Linked DNA regions of Saccharomyces cerevisiae S288C. The protein of the gene in region 3 binds, or shares a complex with, the protein of the main gene of each other region. Each region holds a gene or a part of one and is shown on either strand. Other genes may lie near its edges. The genes, in order: RET1, RPC82, RPC25 and RPC19.

What was found.
Region 1: RPC25 (region 3) and RET1 share a complex: the UniProt entries of both Saccharomyces cerevisiae proteins name them as parts of the RNA polymerase III (Pol III) complex.
Region 2: RPC25 (region 3) and RPC82 share a complex: the UniProt entries of both Saccharomyces cerevisiae proteins name them as parts of the RNA polymerase III (Pol III) complex.
Region 4: RPC25 (region 3) and RPC19 share a complex: the UniProt entries of both Saccharomyces cerevisiae proteins name them as parts of the RNA polymerase III (Pol III) complex.

What each region holds. Positions count from the first base shown.
Region 1 is NC_001147.6:729,447-734,978, forward strand, and holds RET1 (DNA-directed RNA polymerase III core subunit RET1), read right to left. Parts: upstream 4,012-5,532; coding exon 562-4,011; downstream 1-561. Other genes in the region: mRNA-binding ribosome synthesis protein NOC2, read left to right, coding at 1-198; tyrosine protein phosphatase PTP2, read left to right, coding at 4,479-5,532. UniProt on the Saccharomyces cerevisiae protein: DNA-dependent RNA polymerase catalyzes the transcription of DNA into RNA using the four ribonucleoside triphosphates as substrates. Second largest core component of RNA polymerase III which synthesizes small RNAs, such as 5S rRNA and tRNAs.
Region 2 is NC_001148.4:916,577-920,834, forward strand, and holds RPC82 (DNA-directed RNA polymerase III subunit C82), read right to left. Parts: upstream 2,466-4,258; coding exon 501-2,465; downstream 1-500. Other genes in the region: SKI complex subunit tetratricopeptide repeat protein SKI3, read left to right, coding at 1-386; QCR2 (ubiquinol--cytochrome-c reductase subunit 2), read left to right, coding at 2,805-3,911. UniProt on the Saccharomyces cerevisiae protein: DNA-dependent RNA polymerase catalyzes the transcription of DNA into RNA using the four ribonucleoside triphosphates as substrates. Specific core component of RNA polymerase III which synthesizes small RNAs, such as 5S rRNA and tRNAs.
Region 3 is NC_001143.9:175,309-178,341, forward strand, and holds RPC25 (DNA-directed RNA polymerase III subunit RPC25), read right to left. Parts: upstream 1,174-3,033; coding exon 535-1,173; downstream 1-534. Other genes in the region: proteasome regulatory particle base subunit RPT1, read left to right, coding at 1-308; ribosome biogenesis protein LTV1, read left to right, coding at 1,473-2,864. UniProt on the Saccharomyces cerevisiae protein: DNA-dependent RNA polymerase catalyzes the transcription of DNA into RNA using the four ribonucleoside triphosphates as substrates. Specific peripheric component of RNA polymerase III which synthesizes small RNAs, such as 5S rRNA and tRNA.
Region 4 is NC_001146.8:410,965-413,734, reverse strand, and holds RPC19 (DNA-directed RNA polymerase core subunit RPC19), read right to left. Parts: upstream 965-2,770; coding exon 536-964; downstream 1-535. Other genes in the region: DEAD-box ATP-dependent RNA helicase DBP2, read right to left, coding at 1-96; YNL115C (uncharacterized protein), read left to right, coding at 1,682-2,770. UniProt on the Saccharomyces cerevisiae protein: DNA-dependent RNA polymerases catalyze the transcription of DNA into RNA using the four ribonucleoside triphosphates as substrates.

The DNA.
Region 1 (5,532 bases), on a different chromosome or scaffold from region 3:
TTGAATGATGTAGCTTGGAATAAAACACCTTTAGGTTCTTATGTTGCAGTACAACGTGAAGTTAAGGAAGAAAAGGCCAGATTAATGAGAGAAAGTATGGAAGAACAAGACAAAGAAAGAGAAACAGAAGAAGCAAAATTATTAAACAGTCTGGAAAGTGATGATGACAACGAAGATGTTGAAATGTCAGACGCTTAACAACTCAGCAAGATTTGATTTTTTGTCTTGAATTCAATAGTTAAGTCTATAAATGTGTAAAATAAAGAAAAGTCTTTTTTAAAGCGTATATATCATTGTGCTCACATGTGCTAACATGTGAGCACTCCAAGCTTTCTCTTGTCAGCTGGATATTTTTATATTTTGGCCGGTTTATGGATAGAAAACACGTCAAACGTTCGATGGATCTTATAAAAAGTAATGATGTAAAGCAAGGTACAAAAATGAAAGAAGTACGGTTTACTGTTATATAATTTTCGAAATCGTTCAACTCTCTTAAAGTTCCTCACGAAATAGATATGATTGCTAACATAACGCAAAATTTAGTACAAGATATATGATTTCTTACTGCTGGAAGATATCTTCCAATCTTAATCTTGGGGCTATGTTCATGGATAATAATTCCTGGAATAACAGTTTTGCTGCATATGGAATAGTCATCTTAATAATATTCTCAGCACTTTTGCAGGTAGTACACCAACCACTATAGCCCATTAATCCACATTTATCGCAGACATCAACTTCAAAAGCATCTGAACTAATCATCAACCTTTCTAACAGCAATTGTGAAGCACCATACGCGATTACACAATCCCTCTCCATCTCACCCAACCTCAGACCACCATCTCTAGATCTACCCTCAGTTGGTTGACGTGTCAAAACAGCCCTTGGACCACGAGCTCTTGCATGCATCTTATCTAAGACCATATGCTTTAACTTTTGATAGTAAATGGGGCCAAAAAAGATGTAAGCCTGTAAACACTCACCTGTTATACCTGAATATAACATATCCTTACCGGAATAGTTGAAACCTTGGTCTACCAAAATCTTAGACATATCTTCAAGTTTAGAACCACCAAAACAAGTACCATATTCCAATGTACCATTCAATACACCAGCTTTACCCGATATCAGTTCGATCATTTTACCCACAGTCATACGAGATGGAAAACCGTGAGGGTTCATGATAATGTCTGGAACTATACCTTGATCGTTGAAGGGCATGTCTTCTTGCTTTACAATAATACCACAAACACCTTTTTGACCATGTCTAGAAGAAAATTTGTCACCTAATTCTGGCCTTCTGTTTTGTCTTAGCAAAACTTTGATTAAAGCTTGATCGTTATCCGAAACAGACATCATAACTTGGTCAATGTGAGAAGGTTCTGGACCTCTATATATTACCGGAGCTTCCCTATATTGAGTTTGGACGTTTACGTTGTTTGGGTTTGGGGCGTCTGCTGAGTTAGTTGGAACTGACTTATTTATATAAATTTGTCCACTTTGGACCTTCATACCCACCTCACCTAGACCATCAGGACCAAGAGATTGATGTTGCCAGATAGGATCTCCATTTTCATCAACTCTCATACCACCGATGATATCTTGGGTATGGTTCGCATATCTTTTCAAAACAGTGGTTGTCTTTCTACGTGTTTCGCAACGGCCGAAACCTCTATCGATGGATGACTTATTCAAAACCAAAGCATCTTCAATATCATAACCAGAATAGGACATGACAGCAACCGTAGCATTTTGACCAGCAGGTAATTTATCATAATCGATCAATTCAATTGTTTTGGTTTTCACCATTGGCTGTTGTGGATAAGTCATCAAGTATAATAATGTATCTATTCTCTTGAATTGATTGTAGGCGATTGCACCAATCGCTTGCTTACCCATCGCACATTGATATGTGTTACGAGGGGATTGGTTATGATGTGGATATGGAATTAAACCAGCAACAGCACCTAAAATTGTGAATGGCTCGATTTCTAAATGTGTCATCGAGGGAACTATATCTTTTTCATACAATGCAATGTAAGAATCGTTTTCTTCATTGACATCTAAATATTCCACCAATCCGAGTTTCAAAAAATCATCGAAATCTAACTCACCATCTAATAATTTGCGTAAATGAATATCTTTCACGCGAGATTGACCATCAGAAACAATGATTAATGGCCTACAAATTCTACCACCATCTGTTGCAATATGAACTGCCATTTGGTGAGAATTTGAATAAATTGAGATAAACTCCGACACTTTACCTGTTCTTCTCAGATGTCTGAACTGAGTAACGAATTTTGTTGGGAATCTGATTGAACCAATTAAAGTACCATTCAAATAAACACCATAGTTTAAATGCAAGGATGCACTGTCAATCAATGTTATGTCTTCTACACCAAGAACATAACATAATTTCTTTATAGGTTCCTCTTCGTCATCTGTAGTAATATGAGTCATTAATGCTAAATTTTTCACTAGACCACACGCCTCACCTTCTGGAGTATCTGCAGTACAAAGCATACCAAATTGAGAAGGTTGTAATGCTCTTGGACCGGAAACTTTTCTTGATTTTTCAAACTGAGAAGAAATTCTTGTCATCATACCCAATGCGGAAATATAAGATAGTCTGGAAAGAACATGTGTAACACCCGCTCTTTCCATCTTAAATCTTTTAAGAGACCAATTACCGGTTGAGATAGCTCTGTTCAGTCCGCTGGTGATGTTATTTGAATGGACGTTAATTGACAATAATGCATCGTATTCCATAGCCCTATTTGGTTTTTTCAAGACCTTATCAATGCTTAGTTTAAAATCATTATTAAACTTTTTGAACAAATCTTCGAACAATAAAGAAATCAATTGGCCTGCTAATTCAAGACGTTTATTACCAACATAATCTCTATCATCAATCATCTTAGGGTTATACATTGCCATCACCACCCTGCGCGTCATCATGGCAATATATAAAGCCTTTTCTCTAAAGTCAAGGGCTTCCACAGTCAAATGTGCAATAACCGTGGTAGCAATGGCCTCTATACCCTCTTGCAGGATAGTCAGTTTTTGCCTTCTCATTGTCTTTACTTTTGCACCAATATACTCTAAAGCTTGCTGTTGTGTGTAAATATCTAATTTCGAAGATTCTTCCAAATTGACTGCAAAAATATCTTGGTAGCTACTATCATTACCGCAAACCAATTGCATAATTTCTAAATCTGATAAAATACCACAGGCTTTGAGAACAATAGCAATAGGAATTTCTTCAGCGATGGAATTGTGCTTCAAATAGATCTTGCCATTTTTGGTAATGACATAAGTCTTAGATTTTCTTTCATGGGTAGATGAAGTAACGGAGGCCTGAACAATGCCTTTCTTCTCATCTGCCTCCACAATAATACGATTCTTGGATAATTGTTCTTGAACAAGAATTACTTTTTCGGTACCGTTAACAATAAAGTAACCACCAGGATCCAACGGACACTCGTTTAATTTAGCCATTTTCGATTCATCAGCATCATATAGGATACATTTATTAGATCTCAGCATGATCGGCATCCTACCAATTTCCACGTCTTTATGCATAATAATGTTTCTACCTCTAGTGTATTCTATATCCACGTAGATTGGTGCAGAGTATGTCATATCTCTAAGCCTACACTCATGAGGCGGAGTCAAATAATCTTTTGTCGAAGAAGAGGACTTCTTACCCACTCTAATATCGACGTACTTCAGGTAGAATTCTGGATCAACATCACTCAAAATTAATTGATTTGCCTTTATAATTTTTTTTAAATCTGTATCAACGAAGTAGTTAAATGAGTCAAGATGTTGCTTCACCAAACCTTTAACCTTCAAGAATGCTGGTAAAAGGTGCCACTTATCCTGAGCAGTATTGATTTCATCAGTTAGTTTCTTACCTTTATATACTGGTTTCAATAAATCATCAAAAGCCTCGTCTTTCACATGCTTATGTATATGAGTTTTCCGTCTTTTTGTCGCAGCAACCATTTTTCAACAAGCACTAAGTCCCTAGCGATTAAAACGCTCAATTATCAACACTTTAAACTCCCTTTAATTCTTTCCTAACTTGTCCATATATCATCACTTAAGCATAGATCGAAAAATTTTCAGCTCATCTCACAATTACAATTTCGTCCGACGTGATCTGGAAAATACGCGCCTGCTTTATGGAACTATTTATATCTTTATGTGTAGTACACCTAACAATAAGGAATATATAAAAATAATGCACCTATTAAAACCTTTGGGAAGTGCCAACTTTGAATCATCATCTTTCTTTGAACACCGCGCTGCGACCTTTGACAAGAAAGACGAGATCACTCAACCTGACAGACCCGATTCCCCTGGTTCCCCTCTTCCGCTTTGCACAGCCCTTTTCGCTTAGTTTGGAAGCCTAGGTCCGATCCCCAGTGCTATTAATAGTTTACAATAAAATAGGATCGACGTTGCTATTGATGGATCGCATAGCACAGCAATATCGTAATGGCAAAAGAGACAATAACGGCAATAGAATGGCTTCTTCCGCTATATCGGAAAAGGGCCACATACAAGTCAATCAAACTAGAACACCTGGTCAAATGCCCGTCTATAGAGGTGAAACTATAAATCTGTCTAACCTTCCCCAAAATCAAATTAAACCGTGCAAAGATTTGGACGACGTTAACATACGGCGGAACAACTCTAATAGGCATTCTAAAATACTTTTACTAGATCTGTGCGCTGGCCCCAATACCAACTCATTTTTAGGCAATACCAATGCTAAGGATATCACAGTTTTATCGTTGCCGCTACCCAGCACTTTGGTGAAAAGGTCGAACTACCCGTTCGAGAACTTACTAAAGAATTACCTTGGATCTGATGAAAAGTATATTGAGTTCACAAAGATCATCAAAGATTATGATATTTTCATTTTCAGTGATTCGTTTAGCAGAATTTCGAGTTGTTTAAAGACAACTTTTTGCCTCATTGAGAAGTTTAAAAAGTTCATCTGCCATTTTTTTCCATCTCCTTATTTGAAATTCTTTCTTCTCGAAGGCTCTCTGAATGATAGCAAGGCCCCCTCATTAGGAAAAAATAAGAAAAATTGCATCTTGCCCAAATTGGATTTGAACTTGAATGTAAACTTAACTTCAAGGTCAACTTTAAATTTAAGAATAAACATACCTCCACCCAATGATTCAAATAAAATATTTTTACAGTCTCTGAAAAAGGATCTAATTCATTATTCTCCTAATTCTTTGCAAAAGTTTTTCCAATTCAATATGCCTGCTGACTTAGCACCTAACGACACGATTTTACCGAATTGGCTAAAATTCTGCTCCGTAAAAGAAAATGAAAAGGTAATATTAAAGAAACTCTTTAACAATTTTGAAACTTTAGAAAATTTTGAAATGCAAAGATTAGAGAAATGCCTGAAATTCAAGAAAAAGCCTTTACATCAAAAGCAGCTATCACAAAAGCAGAGGGGTCCGCAATCCACGGATGATTCAAAATTATATTCTTTAACTA
Region 2 (4,258 bases), on a different chromosome or scaffold from region 3:
CTATGTCAATTCTAGACGATAAGCGTGAAGATTTAAGCATTATTTTAGAAGAATTGAAAGCTTTGCCATTATCCAAACAAATAATAGATAAGCACAAAGACGCACCATATCTGATAGAAGAAATTACTAAGAGACTTTATCGTAACGATACCGGTAAACAAGTATGGCAAAGGAGTGCGTACTTTTTCCCTAATAACCTCAAGGTTTGGGAGAGATTAGATAAGAATATTCAACGAAGAATAGCTTCTAATGGACAAAATAAAGTTACTGCGGAGGAGATGAGTAAACTATATTGTGAGAGTAAGAATTTGAGAAGCATACAAAGAGGTATGTTTTTGTGCCCTTGGAACGTTACTGCAGTGAAGGCGCTAAACGAATGTTTCTAAAAATTTGGATTCGAGATAGTCAATCAAACCTTAATGTAACATTAGTAATAAATTTTATCTTTTCTATAGAGTATAAAAGGTTATTAGACAGAGTTTATCAGCTGTATAGAGTAATCATGCCATTTGGAAAACTTCCCAAAGCGATAGCAACCTCGATAAACGAGCGAAAACATTTAGCTCTCTTTCATTGACCATCTTTAATTGATTCAATTCGCTTGGTAATAGTAGTTCGTTCTCTCTTCCTTTAACATCATCTCTATTTGCCTTTTTTAATAATGTAGAGTTTTCTTGCTTTAATTTCTCCTTTTTAAAAAGTAAATTTGCCATATTCCATTCCAAGTTTTGTCTCATGAAATTATAGGAATGCGTTTCTTTGCATCTAAACAAAAAAACTGCCCTTGATGCTGATCTATCGGCTGTTCTTGGAACTTCCTGGATTTCCACAGAATTGTATCTAATTAAAGATGCTAATGTAGATCTTATATCCTTTTCCTTCATTAACGCAGTTGAGTTGATAATTTTCTCAGACACCAGCTTGTTATCACGAATACAACGGCTTAAACGCATTGCTGAGGGTCCCAACGTAGACGCGATAACATACTCATAAACAGATGACTTTAATACTGGCATTAGTTTGCTATATGGAACATAGTAAACACCTGGTTTGGTTTCGTTCAAAAAGGGGAAATTTGATGATGCTAGGATTTTTAAATGACTATTTATCAAAGAAGCTGAGTGAGGATCCTCAGTGTCTGCATCCAAATCCTCCTCCTCTTCGTCTTCTTCTTGTGTATCTCCACTTTCTTGAAGAGATTTGGAAACAGCAGCAGGTAGCGCCGGGATCACAAATCCATCTTCGGTTTTTAATTTTTTACTGGGTAATGATGCAGCAGCGTTTGAGCCAGAACGCTTTTTATTGTCAGAGGGCTTTCTAGATAATAAGCTTCCACGCAAGTCCAATTCTGCGGGGAGATGTCTTGCCAAGTCAATAGCATTAAAGGTAAGCCCTGGTGTCTTCTCCTCAACAAGTTCGGCTTCGTCTTGAAACGATTTTGCTTCCTCCAAATCTTGTAAAAGCCCAGTTTGAGTTAGTGGATCTCTAATTTTAGGAGACTTTTGCTCTGTGAGTCTTAATGCAATTTTGTAAACTTGAGCTGTGACGGAGCCGACTCTTGTCTTGGCCAAGTTAATCAATTGTTTAGATCTTCTACCTTTCATAAATCTATCCAAATTAATCGTCAGAGAGACTGTAGGTTTAACAATCCTCAATGAGGTCTTTGGATCAACCGTTAAGATTTGTGAAAGCTCATTTGGTTTATTTATGATTTTGGCAAAATCAGTTTTCGCATTCATCTTGGCTTGGGATCTTTTCTTCAAATCGGACAACGGGGAGTTTCTGGGAATATTTTTGTAATGTTTTTCATATAAAAATTGCCAGAGATCTTCGATTGGGGTATAATGCAATTTTGATATTTGAATAAGATATCCCATTTCACACAGTTGCACGAATAGTGATGAAATGGTGTACTTCATGGAATCTGACGTGACACTACTTAGATAATCTTCCACTGTTAAGGACCCTAATGATATAACGTTTTGTACAATTTCAGCCACCAGCTGTTTATGCTCCTCTTCGTCGTTTACACGCATTTGCGTAATAATTTCGTCAATAATCAACCCTGAGTAGAGTAAAATGTGTATCCCTTCCTCGTTATAGTAATAATAAGTCGTTTTTTTCCCGGATATTGCTGTTTCTTGCAGGTACTTAACACACCTTAATTGAGTTAATGAGACTAGTGTCGTCTTGACGCTGTCTACATCCATACCATCTATTTTCTCCACTAACTCGCGCACACTCAATCTGCCCAGCGCAACCAACATCCCAATTACAGAAGCTGCTCTTTCACCCAGATGTGCCTTCACCAACTCTTTGTAAAGAAACAAATCGGGATTCAAGGTTCTCTGTTCCAAGGATGATATGGTCATAACATCTTCGGGGGTGACCAACTTCTCAGATTCGACAGTGCTCTCACCTGTTTGGTTCTCTGCACTAAGCGCTTCTCCCAGTAACTCGTCCATTTGGATCTTGCTCAACAAAAATTTTTCCCTATTCCTGTGTCAGCAATTCTCTATTGTTCTCAATATTTCTTCCACTATTATTATTTTGATCCAAAATTATTTTTTTCCTTCAATGCGATGAGCTTTTGAAAAATTTCTGATCATTCCCAACGAACCAATAGAAGGCCCGCCCCGTCTTATATCCGTTAGCCTACCAAATATATATATAAAGAACAAGGGCCTTTCCTCAGAGCGTTTGCTGACGAAGTTTTAGAAGTTAATAAGGTTTTTAACAGCAGTGTGCTCGAACGATTAGGACGGGAGAGTTAAAATTATTAAAAGGAAAAAAGAAGAACGTTGATGTTGTCAGCAGCTAGATTGCAATTTGCCCAGGGGTCAGTTAGAAGGTTGACCGTTTCCGCTAGAGACGCACCTACTAAAATATCTACATTGGCTGTTAAGGTCCATGGAGGGTCTCGTTATGCAACCAAGGATGGTGTGGCCCATCTTTTAAACAGATTCAACTTTCAAAACACGAACACTAGATCAGCTTTGAAATTAGTCAGAGAATCCGAATTATTAGGGGGAACTTTTAAGTCTACCTTGGATAGGGAATACATCACTTTGAAAGCTACCTTTTTGAAGGACGACCTTCCCTACTACGTCAATGCCCTAGCAGACGTGCTATACAAGACTGCCTTCAAACCTCACGAGCTCACCGAATCTGTTTTGCCTGCTGCTAGATACGATTATGCGGTCGCTGAACAATGTCCGGTAAAGAGCGCCGAAGACCAATTGTATGCCATTACATTCAGAAAGGGTTTAGGAAACCCATTGTTATACGATGGTGTGGAAAGAGTCAGTTTGCAAGATATCAAGGACTTTGCGGACAAAGTCTATACCAAGGAGAACCTTGAAGTTAGCGGTGAAAATGTTGTTGAGGCCGATTTGAAAAGATTTGTTGACGAGTCACTGTTAAGCACTTTGCCTGCAGGTAAGTCATTGGTGAGTAAATCCGAACCAAAATTCTTTTTGGGTGAAGAAAACAGGGTAAGGTTTATCGGTGACTCCGTTGCCGCCATTGGTATCCCGGTAAACAAAGCCTCCCTAGCTCAATATGAAGTATTGGCCAACTATTTGACCTCTGCCCTATCCGAGCTTTCCGGTTTAATCAGCTCGGCTAAACTTGATAAATTCACTGACGGCGGCCTATTTACTCTGTTTGTAAGAGACCAGGACAGCGCCGTGGTATCTTCCAACATCAAGAAAATTGTTGCGGATTTGAAGAAGGGCAAGGACTTATCCCCTGCAATAAATTACACAAAGTTAAAGAATGCCGTCCAAAATGAATCTGTTTCCAGCCCAATTGAACTAAATTTTGACGCCGTGAAGGACTTTAAGTTGGGAAAATTCAACTATGTAGCCGTCGGTGATGTTTCCAACTTGCCATATTTGGACGAATTGTAAGAGGAAAGTATTTGTACAAAACGAAAAACTAAAGGCAAATATATATATAGATGTTGCCGCGCACCTTTTTTTTAATGAATATTCACACAAATATTGAAAATAAAAACAAACAAAATTCAAATAACAACATGTAAGACCAAAAAAAAATCCCTCATTATTTATTCCTTACCCTTTCCAAATTCTTACTATACTAGTAAATATATATTTAATTATCCTTTTTTCTACTTCAGCATACAATCCTTCTTTTGCCGCAGGTTTATAGTTAGACCCCTCAATTCTGTCAAGTTTCAGTGGTACGTTATTTTATGTCTCATCTCACGATCCTGGCAAAAAAAGAAAGGCATGTA
Region 3 (3,033 bases):
TGAGACCCGGTAGAATTGATCGTAAGGTAGAGTTTTCATTACCTGACTTGGAAGGTCGTGCAAATATCTTCCGTATTCACTCTAAATCAATGAGTGTGGAACGTGGCATCAGATGGGAACTTATCTCCAGACTGTGTCCAAACTCTACCGGTGCAGAATTAAGATCTGTTTGCACAGAAGCCGGTATGTTTGCCATTAGAGCAAGAAGAAAGGTGGCTACTGAAAAGGATTTCCTGAAGGCTGTTGATAAAGTTATTAGCGGATACAAGAAGTTTAGTTCCACATCGCGTTATATGCAATATAATTGACGTCAATGTACTTTTTTATTATATATTATGAGAAGGGTTAATAAAAACAACAAGTACAACTACAACTATCGAGATAAAAAGGATACGAGAGTATCCCCTCAAATAGAGAAAGAATTAGCGTATATAATGCTAAAGAAAATTCACGTTTATTATATATTATTATCCTCATTATTACTGTTACTATTATTATTAAATGTTTTATTGAAGTCAGTGGCGTCCTTATCTATCATTCCCACCAACTAACGAGTCCCATGCCATCAGTTTGACAACTACCTAATAGGGCATATGCTGGAGGTTTTTCGTTTTGAGGAGTTTCTTCATTCTTACCCTCAATCTCATTCTCTAATTGAGCTCTTTCCTCCAATTCTCGTTCTTTGGGTGATTTTGGCTTCACATCAACAAAAACTTCTCTTTCGATTCTGAATCTAATTTTTTCATTTACATCGAAATATAGTTTCGTCTCTTCATCCATGGGCCAAATCCATGCACTTTCTTCAGGGGTATAATAGCACCCTTCGAATAACATATTTTGTGGGATAAAAATGTCATCAAATATACCTAACAGTGAAACTTTTATGCCTTCTGCTGTACATTTAGAAATCCATCCAGTTACTATCTCACCTAGAAACGGTTTGAAAACAACGGCTCGAAATGTAACGTTAATATAGGATGATCCATCGCCTGGCTTCAATTGGCCTTCCTCGACGGTTAATAAGTCGTAAATCGTAATACATAGACCGACATTGGGAATAATCTTGTTGGCGAACTTATTATTTAACTGATGTGTGATTGCCGATATTGTATCGCGATGGAATTGATCGGGCGGGATTCGTACCAAGTCAGCGATTTTTGAAAGGATAAACATATTACCTTGTTCAATGAATTTTCTAATTTAAATAGTACTACAGAATGTCTTTATACTACCCGATAGTTTCTTCCGAATAACGCTTCTTGCGTCTATTTCTGCACATGGCTTGAATATTCGTTATTATGATACGAAATTAACTAATCCGTATAACGCGACTGAAAATTTGTCAAATAAAAATTTTAAGCGATGAGCATCGCCTGAATATTATGAGCATCTAAATCAGGGTTCTTACCGAATCCTACGAGCAACCAGTATAGTATTTCAAAGACTTTAAGGGGAATATAAAAAGCACGAAGATGTCGAAGAAATTTAGCTCTAAAAACTCCCAAAGGTACGTGGTGGTACACAGACCCCATGATGATCCTTCATTTTATGATACAGATGCCTCTGCGCACGTTTTGGTTCCTGTCTCCAATCCAAATAAAACTTCTCCAGAAGCAGATCTTCGAAAAAAAGACGTGAGTTCAACAAAACCAAAGGGTAGGAGGGCTCATGTGGGAGAAGCAGCTTTATATGGTATTAATTTTGATGATTCTGAATACGATTATACTCAACATTTGAAGCCAATAGGTCTCGACCCTGAAAACTCCATCTTTATAGCATCCAAAGGCAATGAACAGAAGGTCGAAAAAAAAAACATTGAAGATTTATTCATCGAACCTAAGTATAGACGTGATGAAATTGAGAAGGATGACGCGCTACCTGTGTTTCAAAGAGGGATGGCAAAGCCAGAATATTTACTACACCAACAAGATACCACCGATGAAATTAGAGGTTTCAAACCTGATATGAATCCTGCATTAAGAGAGGTGCTTGAAGCTTTAGAAGATGAAGCATATGTTGTTAATGATGATGTTGTGGTTGAAGACATCAGCAAAAAGACACAACTTCAAGGCGATAACTATGGAGAAGAAGAAAAGGAAGATGACATTTTCGCACAATTACTAGGGAGCGGTGAAGCAAAAGATGAAGACGAATTCGAGGATGAGTTTGATGAGTGGGATATTGATAATGTAGAAAATTTTGAAGATGAAAACTACGTTAAGGAAATGGCGCAATTTGATAACATCGAAAACCTGGAGGACTTGGAAAATATCGATTATCAAGCTGATGTTCGAAGATTTCAAAAAGATAACTCTATACTAGAAAAGCATAACTCGGATGATGAATTTTCTAATGCAGGTTTAGACAGTGTAAATCCCTCTGAAGAGGAAGATGTGCTGGGCGAATTGCCCTCTATCCAAGACAAAAGCAAGACGGGGAAGAAGAAAAGAAAGAGCCGTCAAAAAAAGGGTGCCATGTCAGATGTATCTGGATTTTCCATGAGTTCAAGTGCCATTGCGCGTACAGAGACGATGACAGTACTGGATGATCAGTACGATCAAATCATCAATGGTTACGAAAATTATGAGGAAGAACTAGAAGAGGACGAAGAACAAAATTACCAACCATTTGACATGTCAGCAGAAAGATCTGATTTTGAGTCAATGCTTGATGACTTTTTGGACAATTACGAACTGGAGAGTGGTGGCCGTAAACTGGCTAAGAAAGATAAAGAAATTGAAAGGCTGAAGGAAGCTGCTGATGAAGTAAGCAAAGGTAAACTGTCTCAGAGAAGAAATCGTGAAAGGCAAGAGAAAAAGAAACTTGAGAAGGTCACCAATACACTAAGCAGCTTAAAATTTTAGAGGAGTAGAATGAGATGAGAAAGCACCTACATTACAAGTACTGTGTAGACATGTATACTTAGCCTAGAATGCATTGATGCTAAAATACATCCTGCCCACCGGGTAATAATTATGAAACGCGGCGGTGCTCTTTGTGGATTTCGGAGAAAGGGGGTGGAGGAAGGAGGTC
Region 4 (2,770 bases), on a different chromosome or scaffold from region 3:
AGAGTTTCTATCAGAGTTTCTTCCACCGCGGAAGTCGCCACCTCTAGACTTGTAGTTAGTCTTGTTATATTGCTGATCTCTACCACCGTAAGTCATATTTGCTCTAAATTTGCCTTAATAGTGCTTAATTCTGTTACAGGTTGTTGACAAGAAAATAATTTGAATGAGATACAGAAAAGTATAAGTTATTTGAGCGTAGGACAGTCTTTTTATAAGACAAATAAACTGAAGGAAAAATTTTCTGCGATGAGCATCGGCGTAAAAAAAAAAAAAAAAAAAAAAAAAAGAAATAAAAAAAGAAATAAATTTTTCAATCATTCAATACGGAATACGCCTTTAAAAAGGAATTTCGAATTCTCAACATTATTAGCACCTTGTACGAAGGTGTATTTTTATCTGGTTATATTATACATAGATTTTAAATAGCACGACTATAAACGGGATACACAAATCAAGCTGTATCTATACTAGCGTGGTGTGCATAATTATTAGAAATTTCAGAGTGACAGAGGGTCTTTGAGTCGATCCGTAACATCTACATGCTCTTGATTTTTTCAGTAAACTTAGATTCTACAACGTCACATAAATCCATCAAGTCCTTTAGCCCTTTTTGAAGAGCATCCACCGCGGTCGTTTCACCGTAGGTTTGAATTCTGATATTTAATAGGTTTTCAGAAGGATGAGGTATCGAGTAACCACAAAATTCTACGTCTGGATTTTTCATTATAACGTAACGAAGGGCATTTCCAAGCGTGTGATCCTCCTCTACAATTTGAAAAGAGGCACTAGTTCCATCTTCAGATGTTGCCTGTGTGAGAAGCTTAATTTTTTCCCTGTCTGGTTCCTCTTCCTGTTCTTCATCGCCAGTCATATCAACATCCTGTTCTTCTTCTTCTTGGATGTGCTTTGGTTCTTGTGGTGTTACCTCTGTAGCGGTCTTTTTTTGTTCGATGTCTTCAGTCATTTGCCTGGTACTTTATGTGAAGTTCAATTTTTCCGACTTTGGATTGATGGCCTTTCCCCAATTCGTTACTTTATACCTCAGCATTAGTATGGTTTTCTTTTGAAATTTTTTTTTTTTCCAGCTCATCGCAGGTGAATATTTCTATCACTTGTTACGTTTACCATTACCCGGATTGAAGTAAATATGATTCACCCCAATAAAGCTGTACAGAAGAGATAAGATGTAGCTTTATTAGAACAAAGTTTATCACGTTGTTGGTACTTAGAATAATCTATGATATTGTTGCGTCTTTTTGAATAAGCTTTCTTGCGTGCCGTTTTTTTCGGTTTTTTTTTATATTTCTGCCCAAAAAACGTAGTTCAAAGAAAAGGAACTATCCCAAAATAGAAGCAAGTTATGTTTAAGGAATTAAAAAATGTACCTATAAAGCACGTTTTTCTGATATGTATATGCCTATGTAATGTAGAAGTTGTCGAATCAGCAATCGTATTGGTCAACCTTGATGGCATGTTCTCAGCACGTTTTGAAGTGGCTATGCATATATAGTGTTCTTTAATCTATTCCTTGCAAGGCTATTCGGACCCCTAATTTTAACCATCGTGCAGTTTAAAGGGATGAGAGAAAAACTAAAAGTTAGATGCCTTGCTATATTCTATAAGGAGGAAAGGAAAGGAAAGCCATTGAAGAAAGAACTGTAGGCATCAGAGCGAACAGATCATGAAGGCTAATGGTTTAGATAATGATCCGGCAAGGACGGGAATGGAAAGAACAGATATAGATAGTGAACACCCAGAAGCGCAACCGTTGCTGAACAACAACCACCGGACCCTTGGTGCAGGATCCGCGAATGGCCCAGCAGTTAATGAAGGTCGTGACATTGAATCCGATGGGTTCATCAAAGATAGTCTCTTTCAAATTCGCAAAGGTTATAGAATCTTTATTCATAACTCCAAATGGATATTAAATATCCTAATTCTAATTAACACCATCTGGCTAGTCACCACTTTGATTTCAGATTTCTTTTTCAATATCAATATTCTTTTCGGATTCAGTAACAGGTACGCAAGTTTTAACGACTTGACTTTAATATTCATCTCGATCATAGCTAATTCTTTCAATCTCTGGTTTAATAAGCTGGGACTGTACTCAGCTTTAGATTACAGCTTAAATGTAACTCTCTGTGTTTTGACGTTGTTCAATCTAGCATTGACCTATCTAATTAAATACACTAGGCAAAGAATCGGCTTTGTGGGCACGTTTACATATTTGTGGACTTCGTTTTCATTTTTTATTGGGGCAATATTAGATTGGTATCTCTTGTTTTACAACAACTCAATAAATGAGCCATTGGAGGAACGCAGAATTGATGATGCTAATATTAGTACTTTCAACGAAAACCATACAAATAGTACCGAAAACAGGGACAGAAGCCAATATGGCTCTGGGTCGCCAACCCCCACCCACCGCTCGCAGCTGGTCCAAAACAAACATACATTGACAGAATGGGTATCCATTGGGTTCAGGAATACTATTAAGTTTTTAATTTTAATATTCTTCGCTTTATTCACCCTGAATACACTTTTAACGACATTGGATACCTACAGATTGACTCACAAATTACCAATAACCGTTCAGTCGCCCTCGTACGAGGCGTTCCATTACGTAGATGCCGCTAAAACCTATCAGTTGCATATAACTTGTTATGGTGACGTATTTGATCAAGAAAACAACACAGATTTGTCTGAAAATAAGAAGCAACCTATCATCTTGTTTGAACACGGAGGTTATGATACTGGTTACCTTTCT